2 linked regions of the Oreochromis niloticus genome follow. The protein of the gene in region 1 interacts with the protein of each later gene in a pairwise test. Links are inferred from orthologs where the notes say so. Each region holds a gene or a part of one and is shown on either strand. Other genes may lie near its edges. The genes, in order: lhx9 and khk.

Region 1 (8,325 bases):
GAAGAAGAAGGAAAAAAAATAGACACAACCCCAGAGATTCAGATCACCTCCTCAGCAGAAGCAACGGGAAGAAAAAGGACAAAACGAAGAAACTACAGCATGAGTGGGGCAGGAGGAGCTCTCCTTCTTCCTGTGAATGTCTCTCCTCCAGGAAAAAAACCAAAAAAAAACCAAAAAACATATAGTCCAAATGATGCGACAGGCCGGTGTGGAAGTGGTGGTGGTGGAGTTTGAGGAGGGAGGAGGGGAGGGAGTGTGAACACTGGCCAAAATAATGACACAAAGTTTTTTTGTGTGTGTTGTTGTTGTTGTTTCTTTTTGGTGATCTCTCTCTCTCTCTCTCCCAGTTTCCCAGTCCGGGGTTCCTCGGTGCTTGGAGGTCAGGTTGGGACTGCCTGGATTTGAGAACCGTGTCCTATTTGTGAAGAGAGCAGAGCCGGCCCAGTCTGAATAATTTGGTAGGAGGAGTTCCTCTCTCTCTCCCTCTCTCCCTCCCTCCCTCTCCCCATCTCTCTCTCTCTCCCTGCATCGCCGTTGATTTCTATTCAGTAACAAAGAGCTGTCACTCTCCCCTCAAAAACTCCTGATTCTGGACCACTGCTTTATGGTATTGACATTTTCATTACGTTTGTTCTGCCATTTAAAGGCGAGACGACGGGAACGTAAGCTGCACAAACTCGGTGCAAATATATTTGATTTATTTATGAAATCATATGCATCCATGCAGGCGTCTGAGGCCCTCTGTGGTTTCACCGGGAGTCCTCACAAGTGGGAATAAACACGTGTCTCACGGGGTGTCGTTTAAAGACACTTTCTAATAAAACTTCATCATCAGACTGGAAGAGTTTTTGGGAAGTGTGAGCTGGACCGGACCGAGTGTTTGGTTTGGTCCCGAAAACACACACACAAACACGCGCGCGCGCGCGCGCGCGCAACAGTGTGTTTGTGTTTGTGGCATAAATGTTCTGTCTGGGGCGGGGCAGTGATCAGTGATAGGCTAGAGGGCGGGGACAGATTCAATTGAACATTTTTGAAACAATGTGATTTGTTTTTGGCCCAAATGAATGAGATTTGGTTAAAAACTGAATTAATTAAATAATAAAATGTATCCCAGGTAACAACAGCCTCCTTACTCAAATAACCCGAACAGACTCCAGCTCGTTGCACATGCTTACATGTATAGAAATCTCTCTCTCCCTCTTTTAAACGCTCTTTTGAAACAGTCATTATCCACTGTCAAGGATTCATTAACGCGGCCTTTCGTCTTTTCTCTGTCTGCTGAATTAGGCCAAAACCTTGTTTACCTGCTGGAGAGTTGATCTGACAGCAGCCGAGAACTGTGTAGTCTCCGCATTTCATTTGTTTGTGTTTTTCTCTTTCTTTCTGCTTTTCTTCTTACGGGCTTTATAAGAAGCAACGTGGAAGTAAAGGCGAGATGAGAGAGAGACCTCCAGTTGGTGGTCGCTACAGGGAAACCTCAACCAGCTATTGCATATTTTTAGAAATTCATGCTTTTTAAAATTCCATCCCTATCTCCAAAGATGGTCTGCTTTACGCAGGGCGCAGTGGGGGCTGCAATAACGATCTGTGTCAGTTTTAAAAGGGTGTGGAAAGCTTTGTTGCCCAAATAATAAAGGCAGGAAATAAAAGGCGTTCAGCTTCCAGTATGCAGTGCGGACTTGGTGACAACAAAACTATATATATTTTTTTTTTAATTAATCCGTTCATTAATTGGAGATTTGGGCCGCGTGACCTTCCAGTTGGATCCACGCCAGCGAGCTGTGGTCTTTGTAAGCTCGATGACGGCATTATTTTTCATAAACAACAGACAAACATCAGTCCCGTTAATAGATTTAGCAAAGCTCGGGGAGGTTTGCAGGTGTGGATGCTTCATCTCAAGACGTGTTACATTATCACGTGAACCTCCCACCACCCATCCACCTCACCGCACGCGCGCACACACACACGCGAGCACCAAACACGCAAGCGAAGTTGTGTTGGCTTTAATTGGAGGCCCCTTGATAGCAGCGCTATAAGACGAGGCTTGAACCCTCCTGGACGGGCTGGAAGTGCAGCTGTTGTCAGACCCATAACGCTCATTTGCGCTCTGCAGTGTCCCAGCACCAGCCGCAGAGCGGTGGGGGAAAAGGGGCACGCAAAAAGGACACGAGGATTTCATTTCACCTGGACAAAGACGCCCCGAGTGGAACGATAAGCTCAGCTCTGTGTGCGATTTTTAATCTTAACTGCAGTTTTCCTGCCATTCTGCGTCTTCTCTGCGAATTAGGCGCTGGCAATAGGGCGTGTTTCCAATATGAAGAAGTTTTTTAAAGAAAATATTATAATTATTATTATTTGTTTTTTTATGAAAGCGTTAATGTCGATAAATAACGCTGTCGTGGCCCGTTGCCTCCAGCAGTGACATTTAATATGACTGAAGAGCGCTTACCAATGTGTCAGTGAACACCAAGGGGATGGGGGGGGGGGGGAATCTTTGGAGCTGCTGTTTGTTTTATTTTGTTTTTTTCTGTATTTAAAACATATTCATGAAGCTTTTTATTTGTCTGATTGTCTTTTTATTTCACTTCGGATTTTAGCCAAACTATATATATATGTATATATGTATATATTTTTTTACAAAACGAAAAAAATGTCACTTTTATTTTGAAATATCTTTTTAAAAAATCTATTACACCTTCAGTATTTTTAAAGTGTCTCTAAAAAAACCTGTAGGAAATAAAACTGGGTGATTTTGTGTGTCAGCTTTAGTCAGTGTGGGTGATTTATCCAAGTTAAAGATTAATTTATTATTATTATTATTTAAGGAACTGAATTTATTTTAAGGCTTTGGAAAAACAATAAAGCACAAAAATCCACAGTGTCAGCATTTCTGTTTGACATGGCGAGAGTCGGCTCAGTGGGCCACTGACGTTTGTCAAATACATAATGAAAATTAAAATAATAATAATACTAATATCACAATCACGCACACAGCGACATTTTGCCTGTATTTTCATAAAACCCATACATTTGTGTTTCGCACGATTTTACTGGCGTGCGAACTCCAATCTATTATTTATGCGCATAATCGAGACTGATTTAGGCAAACAGAAAAATAATAATAAGAAAAAAATATATAAGTTTTTTAAAATCACACACCGATCGAGTGCGTTTGTAGTCCAAGTCTGCGCTTTTATCCCAGACAAAATCACCCATGTCACTGTCTTTATCACGCATCAGATCTGTCGCGCATTGCTTCACACGCTCCACGCTTCTCCTTTCGTTTCCCCCCAAAGCCCTCTCTGTGTTACTAGTATTATTATTATTATTAGCGTTGCCCTCAAGAATAAATAGCTATGGAAAAAAGTCTTACCTGCGGCTGTGCAGTGTGTGAGTGAGATCCCTGTGCAGCGTGCAGACTGAGCCGCTCCGGACTGTGCGCAGTGTGCAGAGGAGACAGAGGAGAGGCTGCCGGTAGATGGGGGGCTGTTCCTCGTTTCTGAGCTTACAGTTCTAGTTCGGGCGTCAATTAAAACACAAGACATTTAAATATTCCTCTCTCGTAGGCAGACGGCCCTCAACACACCGCAGCACACAGAAAACGGGGAGCCATGAGCCAATGGCCTACTCAGCATGTAGGTTATAATCTGTGATGTGCTTCTGAATTAAAGTGGTGAAGTCGGTGGTCGCCAAATGAAAAAAAACACACAACAACTATCACTGTATAAAATAAAATGTAGGGACTTTTCAGCAATTAAATATGTATTTGTCCTTTAAACACTCCAACTTAGCCTGTGCTGTAAATGAATCCAGCTCCTGCTTGGTTATTATTATTATTCGTTTTACGCACCAAATATGAATAAACCAGCGTTTGGCAACCAGAAATGAAAGCTGGCACATCTGGGTCTAAACAGTTATAATCCCAAAATGCATCATGGCTTCTTTACCTTTTATTTTTAAAAATATATACACACACCGATCGTATTATAGGAGACTGAAGTGAGCTGAGCACGGTTACAGTCTCACTGGCTGGAGAGGTTTGTGTGAATAAATAATTAGGGTGTAAAGTCAAACTGGATCAATCAAATCTGACAAAGATAGGGAGCGCAGCAACACACGCCTGGAGGGGAAAAAATGTTTTGGTATTGAATAACCAAATACCAAATCGAAGCCATTTTCAAAATAAAAGTGCTCATTAATTGACGAATTGTGCGCATTTTAATCATGTGGGTACTGAACCAAAACCGCGGAGGGCTGCCTATTAGAAAGGTCGCAGTTTTCTTGTTTCCCCCTCTCTGATTTCCTTGCTTTCATATTTGCGTGACGACAAACGAATAATAAAAATGTGCGACCTCAGGAGGGTTTAGACCCATTAATACAAGACGACACGTGACTCCTACCACACTTTTTAGTCTAATTTTATTGATGCATTTCATTAAAAACACAAATAAGACAAAAAAAAAAAAAGCATATCAAGATAAGCCCATTCTGTGGTTCATATTTGCATGCTATAAAGTGTGGCACACTGCACGCCCGGATCCTTTTCTGAGGAACTGAGCTGACAAACTTCATAAAAATTCAAAGCAATAATAAGTCTGTTCAGCCAGGAAGCAGACTTACACACTTGCCTTGTGTGGCCTTGTGTTGCAACATCTAATAAAAAAAAGAAACGCTGATGAAAAATTCACTAATAATTAATAATGTCAAGATTTTAGTAAATATTAATAGTGTTTATGTTTTGAGGATGGTTTGGTTGTGTCTCTCTCTTAATGAGACCGTATTTTCTCAATTTAAGAGGTAAATACAAGGAGCGTGAGGTTTCTCTTCCCCCACTCACGTCCTTATATTCTCCACCTGAAATGCAAACTGACAATCGTCCATTAAATGGTAACACCGGTAAGAGAATGCAAAACCGTTTAAAGAGCACTTAGCTCCTCCTGAAGTGCACGTTCATCTTTAACACGAGAAAGGGAGGTCATCCAGAAAAACAAGAGGATAACCCAAACCTGCTCGTGCTCCCCACGGAGCGCCGAGGCACGGGTGGACTCGTTTCAATTGACTACGAGTGAATAGAATATTGTGTGAACGAGCACTGGGGCTGGAGCAAAGGGTGACAATTAATTACACCTCTGTACCGCTTGCATAAATGATCACGTGCCACACTGCTAACAGTCATTTTGCTTTGCTCCTTCAGCCTGGGTTGACATCACAGTGTATCTCATCAATAATGCAACAACACTGAGATCTATTTCACAGCGTACCACAACACGGAACGCACACACAGCGTGCTAGGAGCACGATACCCAGACAGGCGCTGCAGCGCGCTTGGTTAAATCGGCGAAACGGCGGCTACAGCGCCAAGCAGGTCGCCTGGCTGTCCCCCGCCCACCCCCGCACCTCCCCGAGTGCCTGGCTCCTCTCTGCTGTAGGGCATGGTGGTTAGATTACCACACATCCAAAGTTCATCTGGAGTTATCATTTCTGGGTCACCTCAAGTGACACTCAGTCTCACAGAGGGAGCTCTCAGTCACTCCCAAAGCATGGCCAGAAAAGGAGCGTAGGAGAGGTGGTGGAGGCGAGGAGGCGAGGAGTAGGAGAGAAGCAAGGAAGAGGAGGAGGCGGTGGGAAGGCTCTCCCAGGATCCAGTGAGGTGCAGGGAACCACAGGCTAAACACTGACAGAATGAAGGAAAGGGGTGGGAAGGGAAGGGAGAGGGTGAGGCAGAGGAGGAGGAACAGAGGGAGGAGTGAAGCACTGTACAGCTGTATCCCAGTCACATGAGCCTGGGTGGGTGGGTGGGTGGGTGGATGGTGAGACATCCTGGAAATATTTACAAACACACAGTGGACGTGACTTTCTAATTATTGAAGCAGAGGCGATATCAGAAATGCACAAAACGGGGGAAACGCCCCCCCCCCCCCCGGCGGCGTCTCGTAAAGAAGCAAAATGATAAACGGCGATTTTAAGAAAATAACGACGTGCAGGATAATACGAGAATCTCCACGTCTCCTCCTGCTGGTCATTTCTCCCCCGCCTCTCCTGCTTCTACCACTTTCCCTTTTCTCTCTTCCAAGCAACGCTCCCCCCTCCCTCCCTCTCGCCCTCCACCCCTCCTTCGATCTCCTCCCTGCTCTGCTCTGCTGGAGCTCAAATCACAACCCCGGTCCCTGGCAGATGGAGGATAGGAAAGAGAAGCTCTTAACTAGCCAGCCTGAGCCGCTGCTCTCTGCACACCAACTGCTGCCTGCCTCCCCTCCCTGCCTCCAGAACAGCTACCACTACATGCACCCCCCCACCCCCAGCACCTCTGGGGACACGGTATCCTTCTGGGGAATGGTGCGTGTATTAGTCCGTATCTGGACACACTAGAAAGGACATGGAAACATAATAGATGGATGTTATTTATCACTACATAACCTTATGGGGCAGAGCAGCGTTTGCGAGGAGAGGGTTAGTAAATATCGTTTTGCTGTCAAACAAGCGCCGTCTTTCTACTTCAGTGAGCGAGGACAGAGAGTCAGAAGACGGCGTAATGTGAAGCGAGCTGGAGGTTAGACGGCGTGACAGATAAAGAAAGCGGCGACACGTCGGGTCCAAAGCGCAGACGAGAAATCATGAACGACTGCGGCGATGCAAAACCAGGAGGGAAATAAACAGGCCAAAGTGCTCCGTGGGCGCTTAAGTGCCTTTGACTGCCCCCGACTCTCCTTTTATCTGGGCTCATCTGGCGACCACGGCTTGGCCTGGCATGAGCCTGACCACCAGTTGCGGTCTGAGGGAGAAACTGCTCCTCTGTGCTATTTGCAGCCCTGTCTGTCCAAAGGAATCTGGTGCGCTGACTGTCACTCAGTGGCCATGTGTGTTTTTTATCACTAATTCTACCACAGGGATGTGGTTGTCCATATGACCACTGTGGAGGCTGCTGCCCTGAGGCGAGCTGACATTGTCTGTGTAGAACGACCAGACGTTGATGTAGGGGCTGCTCAAATGCTGCTTAACACACACACACACACACACACACACACACACATGCACGCAGGCAGGCAGGCAGGCATACTGAGCGGTGCCTGGCCAATTGCTGAGACTGATGTTCCTTTCAGCCATCATATGGCTGACACTTAAGTTTTTTTCCCCGCCAACCTTGTGTCAGTTCCTGGCTGGTCTGGCCAGCAGTGATGGAGACGCTGTAACCGACTGTGGTCGGGGCCGCTGGCGGCGGGGCTGCTGTGCCCGTTTGAGATGGGGTGCGATGGGGGTGGGGGGCTGCTGCTTGGCCTGTCAACTGGTTGTGACTGGAGCATGTCTGGTCACAGATCCAAACTGGACAGCTCGCTCTTTCTCTGCAGCTAGTGCCATCATCCTGCAGAAAGGCACACGGCGTATAGCTGCCACTCTGCTCCAGTACAGCATATGCTCCAGCTGAGGGTCAGACATGTTCAGTCCAAAACGCCTGAAAGAGACGCCTCACGTGTCTAACTGGCTGCTGGGAGCACATGTGCACTGTGGGTAAAAGAGAAAATGATCGTGGTGCTGCATAACCCAGCTCCAACCCAAATAAAAGGCGGGACTTTCATCAACTTTAGATAAATTAATTCGGTTCAATGATTAAAACACAGAAACTAGTTGAATGCTCTCTCTCACTGTGCAAGTGCACTGCACAGGCTACTCAATCAATCTGCTGATGAATTAAGGATGGATTAGTAAACGGAGTGCAGAGGTGTGCTGTGCTGTTTGTGTCTCAGTCACCAACTGCTAGGCTGGAAGATGATGGAGGGGAAAAAAATTCAAACTGTGCCATCACTGGATCGGGAAGACGTGGAGGGATGAGGCAGACATGAAAGTTGGCCTATTTCATGGTCAGGCTGCGGGACCGCCGAGGCCCTGAATGGCAATGCATCTACTTTAATGTGACAGACGAGTCCCTAGGCAAAACCGGCGGAGCCGCGGCAGGCAAGCGGGCCCAGGTACTTGATGAGTGTGACACCTTCGCCGTCCCGCTGTAGAAATGTTGCTGCCGCACGCTCCGCTGCCTCGGTTTAGAATAACACCAAATAAATTCGCCTCTCATCCCGCCTGACGACGCGTCCCCAGAACCTGTCCTCCCCAGCACTGTCGGGATCACCGATCTCCTTGTAGCCGCTCACAGGGCTTTGCTTCGATCGCTAAGCACTTGCCTTTGGGACCCACCTGCCGAGAAAAGACACATCCTCTCATGGCGACGCCGTTTGCCCAATCGGGCGGAGAAGGACGAGTGTGTGCGTCGGGTTTGCGGCGAGCGCCCGGAGGCGTCATGCCGCCTACCCACACGCACTCTCAAATCAAGCA
Region 2 (7,996 bases), on another chromosome or scaffold:
TGGATTTTGCAGACAGGACATATCCTACCTTTTGCACCAGTTACAATAATAATGCGCTGTTTGCACGATGAGCACTGCTTCCAAGCTCCCCTAAATTGGCCGTGCGCTTCGTTTTGTGCGTGCACGCATCTGTGCATTTTGTGGCGTCTGTGCAGAAATGACTAGTAAGACCAGGCTGCAAACTATTCTCACAGGCTGTATCCCAATTCAGGGTCTGCAGCCTTAAAGGCCGCATTTTAAGGCCGATTACGTCACAGCGACGCGCCGAAGGCTGTCCCAATTCAAAGGCTGCTCGAAATGCGGCCCTCAAATGCATCCTTCATGTCCCTGAATTTTAAGGACGTGGTGGTGTAGACTTCATGGCCCAACATATCCCACAATTCATAGCGCAGCAGTCGGTGTGGATAATTTTTCCGCAGACGGCAGAAGTGGAGCGGCCGAAGAGTAAACTGTTAAAAGTAAGTACTGAATAATATGTCACTTATTTATGTGAAAATGTTGAATAACGGAGAACATTAAAACATTACTGTTGGCCACATGTCGGCAAAGTTATGTGACATTAGCGATGTTTGTACTTTCAGCGTTTACTTGGTTTTAAAGCCGTTCAATAGTCAACCTTAATCTTACAGAGAATGTGATGATTTTATGGATAATTAAAGTCAGTCATATATCCACAAACACAACAAGCTGAAAGTCAGTGATGCTGCTCGGTTTGCAGTCCTGAATATGACGGCACAAGCAGGATTCACTGCACTGTTAATGTTAGCTATGTTATATTGCTGCCTCTGTTCGGTGGTGTTGAGCCAAACGGACTTTAACGTGTGTTTGAACGAGCTGACGGTTCACTCGTTAAGCTGAAAGAAAGATGCTTTAATCACAGGAGTCACACATGTGTCCACTGGACCATCTGGAACTCTTCTTGTTTAGCACTCGTAATAACACAAACACTAAATCCTCCTTCTCTTGTGCTGTTTTGTAGCAGTGTATACACCTGAGACTGTCACCTGTCTGTCTGTCCTGCACTCTCTCTCTGTTTCTTTCTCTCTGATTGCAGAATAAAAGTATGAACATGTATTTATAAGTTACACTTGTGTTTGAATCCTGCAACTTATCACACATTTGATTTCCATGTGTGACAACTGCAAGTGTCCAGAGTGAGGACAGACTGAGGGACCCACTGCTGCACATCATCTGTGAGGCTTTGCACCCCTGATGATCCACCAGGACAAACTCAGGAGTGTGTGAGGAAGAGGGGGAGGAAGAGCCAGCAGCAGCTGACAGATGGAGAGAATAGACAGACTGTTCCCTGAACTTCCTGTTCCTGCTCAAACACAGTGGAGTTTTTGAGTAGCTTATCTGCTTAGCAATTTAATTAAAACGTTTTAGATACATTCCTTTTTCATAGCATAATCTTCATGTGCTTCATCCGAAGCACACTTTCTGTGTACTACCTGTACTACCTAATTTATAGCCAAAGTACCATGAACATAATTTACTGTCAGCTTTCACTGAGTTCATGGAGACTGTTACTGCACCATGTTGGTAAAAGTCATAAATCACTCTGGGTTTGACATTCAGACATTACTGTTAACATAGTATACCCCATTAATAGCTGCATTCTGACAAACATCCAGCCACACCACCTCAGCAATGAAAAAAACAATAGAAACAAAAAAAAGTATGACTAATTTCTACAGGAACAGGGGGGGGGGGGTGACAATTCCAAACCCTCATGGCCTTGTGTAATAAATTGATTGCCCCCTGAACCTAATAACTGGTTGGACCACCCTTAGCAGCAACAACTGCAATCAAGCATTTGTATTAACAGTCTTTACAGCTGTGGAGGAATTTTGGCCCACTCATCTTTGCAGAATTGTTGTAATTCAGTCACATTGGAGGGTTTTTGAGCATGAACTGCCTTTTTTAATTCAATTGAATTCAATTTTATTTATATAGCGCCAAATCACAAGAACAGTCGTCTCAAGGCAAATAGTAAATGGCCTGTATTTGTATAGCGCTTTACTTAGTCCCTAAGGACCCCGCTTTACACGTTCAGTCATCCACCCATTCACACACACATTCATACACTGGATTATATTGGACAGTAGACCCTACAATAATACATACAGAGAAAAACCCAACAATCATATGACCCCCTATGAGCAAGCACTTTGGCGACAGTGGGAAGGAAAATCTCCCTTTTAACAGGAAGAAACCTCTGGCAGAACCAAGCTCAGGGAGGGGCGGGGCCATCTGCTGTGATTGGTTGGAGTGAGAGAAGGAAAACAGGATAAAGACATGCTGTGGAAGAGAGACAGAGATTAATAACAGGTATGATTCAATGGAGAGAGGTCTATTAACACATTGTTCCTTTCTCTGTGCATGAAGTCTGTAAAGTGTTAGATCATAGAAAATCATCAGGACCCGACTTAGTAGATCATTTCTTCTTGACACTGTCAGCTGATTTTGTGGCAGAGCCTCTCACAACACTTTTCAACCTCACACTGGATACGAATGAGGTTCATCACTAACCGTAAATCTCAGACTCATCACTGTGAGTTATACTCTCAGGTAGGATGGCCTGCTTTGGAAAGTCGGAGGAACTCTCATCTATACAGTTTTATATATAAGGCAATACTTGGGTTGCTACCTTCTTATATATGTTCCCTGCTTGCAATGAAACATGCTGGTCAGTATTCTCTTCGTCCACATGGTTACTTGTTGCTTTCTGTTCCATTTGCCCGAACTGAATTTGGTAAAAGACCTTTTGTTCATTTAGCACCCTCGGCTTGGAACAAACTGCAGAACGAATGGAAAATGACTGAATTCATTCCATTAAGTGCTTTTAAATTCGGTCCACACTCCACACCAGTTGGTGGCGGTAGTGCTGTTTGCCAACCACCAATAAACAATATAAAGAAGAAGTGATGCAGTTTGTTGCTGTGACTTCACTCTAGTGATGGTAAATTTGATTCTTTTTACTGAATCGAGTTTTAATGAGTCACTCACCAAAGTGAATCGGGTTTTTTGAGTCATTTGAGTCACTGAGTCAGTTGACCAGAGAGTGCAAAAAATGTACATTTTCACTCAAACTTAATTTGTTTCTCTTTTAATGTAAATCCTACTGCTAAGATGAGTGATTCTTAAAGAAAACAACTATTTTCCATCCATCCATTCGCTTCCGCTTCTCCTTTTCAGGGTCACGGGGGGCGCTGGAGCCTATCCCAGCTGTCATGGGGCGAGAGGCGGGGTACACCCTGGACAGGTCGCCAGTCTGTCGCAGGGCCAACACACAAGGACAGACAACCATTCACACTCACATTCGCTCGCACATTCACACCTAGTGGCAATTTGGTTTATCCAATTAACCTATCCCCACAAGTTGCATGTCTTTGGACGGTGGGAGGAAGCCGGAGTACCCAGAGAGAACCCACGCAAACATGGGGAGAACATGCAAACTCCACACAGAAAGACCCCGGCCTGATGTTGGAATTGAACTCAGGACCTTCTTGCTGTGCGGCAACAGTGCTAACCACCGTGCCACCGTGCTGCCCTATTTTATATAGCAAAAAAGAGCAAAAGAATTTCTAAAGGGAACATTTCTTTTGTTTATTTTTATTTTATTAGTATTTTCCTTACATGTGTCAAATATATATTTTCTCATCTAAATGTCCACTGAGCTGTGAGCCAGGGGGCGGTAGTGCGCCTTAACATTGGTTGCCAACGAAGAAGAAGAAGAAGTAGCTGCGAGCCAGGAGGGAGGGGGTGAGTGAGTGAGTGAGTGATTCGTTCGCTCTATGATTCAGCACAGGAGGGAGGGGGTTAGCGAGTCATGAGTGATTCGCTCGCTCTATGATTCAGCACAGGAGGGAGGGGGTGAGCGAGTCATGAGTGATTCGCGCGCTCTATGATTCAGCACAGGAGGGAGGGGGTTAGTGAGTCCTGAGTGATTTGCTTACACTATGATTCAGCGCAGGAATGGCGGGGGTGAGTAGCTCAAATGTGCTGTTAGCATGTTAGCAGAGCGTTGCTACTGTAAACCGAGGAGCTATTGTCTTGATGTGAGCTTCTACTCAGGGTTTTTTCTTCCAGTTCAGAGCAGAAATGTTTTTGTTAAGATACTGGATGTTGTGTTTTTCTTCACAATTTGAATTATAAGCTAGATATATTTCTACTAGTGAAATTAGTTTGCTAACAGCAACAGGGATGAGTCAGTGAGTCAGTTGCGCTTGTGAATCATGATTCACGAGTCAGTAAAGTGATTCTCGAGTATTGAACGATTCGTTCATGATTCGCGCATCACTACTTCACTCTGAGGGAATCATGGGAGGAAGTGTTTCAAAGTCCACCTAAGTGTGCCTTTCTAACACCCTCGGATCACAGAGAGTTTGTGTGGACCAGCATGGAACAGCAGAAGAAGATTCTGTGCGTGGGGCTGGTGTGTCTCGACATCATCAACGTGGTGAACAAATACCCTGAAGAAGATACTGACAGCAGGTTAGCATCCAGGCTAACTGTGACAGCAGGTCAGCCTGCAGGCTAAAGCTGACAGCAGGTTAGCATCCAGGCTAGTTCTGACAGCATGTTAGCCTGCAGGCTAAAGCTGAGAGCAGGTTAATATGCAGGCTAACTCTCCAGGCTGGTACAGCTTATGTTGAACGAGCTGTTTAGAGAAGTGGATCTCTAAAAAGTGATTGACTGTGACATTGTATACAGTCAGAATTAGGGGTTTACGGGTAAGGGTTTTTGGTGATGTTTAGGGGTCAGGGTTGGCAGTTTTTTTAGGTCAATGTGTGGGCAAAGGTCACGCTTTCATTACGTAACAGATTTCAGTGTAACACTATCGACTTTTGATACTCCGTTTAGTTTTTTATTTTAAAAATGAAAAATCCAGAACATGATGTAAATTATATTAATGTATCTCTTTGGTGCTGCAACAAGCCCTAACCCCACAAACAGGAGGTGTCACTAATCTGAAGAAGAGAATTCATCTTTTGCCTCTCTCCTAACATGGTGACATTAGCATCACTGGTTCTCCTGCTCTCTTCACTCGTGTGAACGAGGCCAAGCTGATTGATCTTCTATAATCTAAGTTTTCCTGGCCTAGGCCCTGGCACTAACCTGACTACGACCCGACTGTCCCCCAACCCTGTGCTTTTAAGTGTGGTCGATAACTGTAGCAAGGATCCCAGGCTGACAGTTTCTCCAGCACATGAATGTTTTTATATGTGTAAAACAGCATACAGAATACTGAGTGGCAGGCTTTTCAGCCCCACTCTCTCCAGCTCAGTGCTCCTCACTTCTCCTGTATAGCACACACCTCACTTCTCTGAGATCCTACTCATAGGGGTGACATGATTAGGCTATGGGGAACAGCTGTGTGCATGAGGCTCCCCTGACACTGAACCCACTGCTCCGCCACAATGACTTTGTCCGTGATGCACTGGTGCTTGTTTCTCATTGGGGATGGGAAACACACTCATTTGACTTTAACGTTAGCAGCTTCTTTTTGTTTCTGTGTGTAATGTTTGACTCCATGAAGCCTTTCATCACTCCTGCCATCAGTATTGAAAATTAATGATTGCCCCTCTGATGGATGATGTCATCACTTTGTACCTGCAGATGTCTGTCGCAGCGTTGGCAGCGGGGAGGAAATGCTTCAAACTCATGCACAGTGTTGTCGCTGCTCGGAGCGCCCTGCGCCTTCATGGGCTCCCTGTCAGCTGGTCCTGTGGCCAAGTGAGTCCTTTTCAAATGCTCATCAATAAATCCATTTGTTCAGAAATCCAAGAAATACACAGTAATCAATGTTTGAGGGCAGAATCCAGAATGTTAATACCACAGTTTTTTACTGAAACTGTGGTATTTTGGAGATTCTACACACACACACACACACAAATGAACATTATCAACCTACTGAAATAAAAGACTTTCTGCTACTTAACTGAGCAGATAAATATCCCAGATGTTTAACTGACTATATTCTGATTAAAAAGTATTTCTTTAATTTTTGAGCAGTATAAATAAAAAGGATACTGGCAGCCACCAGTCTTTAATTAGGTGTTTGTATGATGACATTTAATGAATTTTGTCAATGCAATAAGAAGGAATCAACTTTGAATTTTTTAAACTTCACCTCATACTTTAACCTCCATATCAAGTCGGTGAGACTGGAAAGCGTTCACGATGTTTAATAACTGCACCAGTGGCATCAGTTTGAAAGTGACTTCCCTTCTTATTACATTCATGGGGAAACTTGACCTCTTACCTTAACCTGAGATTCAAACTTGTTACAGAATTTTAGCAAATGCATGCGAGATATGAATTTTAAAATCCTACAATAAAGTAAATGAAGCAGGTTAAAGGTGTGGAGATAGTTCTTGATGTTTGAAGCTGTGGTGAAGCACAAAGGGGGAAACTCCTCTGGTGCTCACATTTACAAAGCATTCTTCAAAGGGTAAAAAAAAAAAAGCCAGCTCTTTGTTCACCATCAGTTTCACCTGAGCACTAAAAACAGGAGATTTATCGTCTTTATTTAGCATCCCCTCAGAAAGTGCATTACTAACATACTTGTTACCACCTCTGACTTTAATTATTCTGTCTGCCATGTGGAGGATCTGTGTTTCAGGAAGCCAAGTCAGTGTAAACAGTTACCTGTCTGTAGTTTTATTTTGGAAGATTTTCAGAAGTACTGCATCGATGTATCTCTGCTGTCTGAGCACCCTCAGTGCTTCCTTCCAGCCTCCATGGTCATCAGCAACATAAGCACAGGAAGTCGCACCATCCTGCACATGAACAGGTGTGTTTGTGTGTCTGTGTCACTAACGGCATCTGTTTCAGTGTCATCGTAGAGGAGCTCCGCCCCTCCCGTTCTGCCAGTCAGAGTTCGGGTTTCTGTCAGAGTTTTATTTTAGAGGGGACATGATCCTTCCTGTCTGTCTTTCTGTCAGTTTCATCATGGCTGACTTCTCGCAGCGGGCCATCGACGTGTCAGCGGTGGTTTTGCAGGTCGAAGGTCAAACTCCATGTGCTTGTTGTGTGGTTTGTCCATCCACTGGAACTCGAACCGTCGTTCTCTCCGATACGTAAGGCGTAAGGCCGTCGAAGAGCTGCGATTTTCACAGCTCACGTTAGATATTAATTAATAATGATTATTACAATGATCGAGGTTTTCTTCCAGCCTGTTTGATCAATGTGTTATTTCTCACATCATGCCTGGCTAATCAGCACCGCAGTGAAATAATCAATCTTCCCTTTGTCAAAAATATATTTTTAAATGAAATTCTGCAGAATCTTTCCTGTTTCTTTTGATTCTCTTTCTGATCACCTGAACAAACCCATCAGTGGTTCAGGTGAGGCTTTACTGATTGGATTGCACCATGCCCTCTCAGACTCTAAGCTCCACCCATTGGCCGCTGGAGGTGGATGAAACAAATACACTGATGAGTTTAGTGAGTCTGCCATCAGGAAGCATGAAAACCTAAATGTCAGCCTAAATCTGGTCTAATGACAACTGGGCACATGAGCCACTGCAGAGCAATGGCTCCACCAATCAGATGAGGTGAATATCAGATGACTTTTTATCAGGTCAGAGGCAAAGTTGGAAAAAGTGGACCAAACTCTTTAAAGGAGTTTCCTAGAGCAGTTTGTGTGAAGGTCGCGTAGAGGAAACTGATGGCGTTGATATTCTTTTCGTTTTGACCTCAGCAACCACTGTAGCTCATTCATTTCCAGTTTCTGTTAAAAAAACGTCCTGGATTGTTGCGATATCCACATCGAATGTTAGGTGAGCAAAAAGAAAAGCATGAAGCAGTCAGTAAAACCTTCAGGCAGGTAAACTGTTTATAAAGCAGCTTTCTGTTTGCTCGCTGAGCCTTGTCACAAACTTCTCTGTTAGCTCAGCAGTGGTTTCTGGGGATAATTCATCATAAATTATTTAATTTCTGCCAAAGTATAAACAAGTTTATTAATCAAATGTCAATCTGTATGGGTTTTC

What was found.
Region 2: the proteins of lhx9 (region 1) and khk interact in binary tests that used the Homo sapiens proteins (3 or more experiments, as listed by UniProt). The two-hybrid records come from large-scale screens. The link is inferred for Oreochromis niloticus from reciprocal best matches to the Homo sapiens genes LHX9 and KHK.

The regions. Positions count from the first base shown.
Region 1 is NC_031981.2:1,419,227-1,427,551, reverse strand, and holds the start of lhx9 (LIM/homeobox protein Lhx9), read right to left. Parts: upstream 3,511-8,325; 5' UTR 3,374-3,510; intron 2,440-3,373; exon of another isoform or gene 1-2,439. UniProt on the Homo sapiens protein: Involved in gonadal development.
Region 2 is NC_031970.2:188,223-196,218, reverse strand, and holds the start of khk (ketohexokinase), read left to right. Parts: upstream 1-4,310; 5' UTR 4,311-4,402; coding exon 4,403-4,497; intron 4,498-5,622; coding exon 5,623-5,739; intron 5,740-6,664; coding exon 6,665-6,799; intron 6,800-6,950; coding exon of another isoform or gene 6,951-7,085; intron 7,086-7,996. UniProt on the Homo sapiens protein: Catalyzes the phosphorylation of the ketose sugar fructose to fructose-1-phosphate.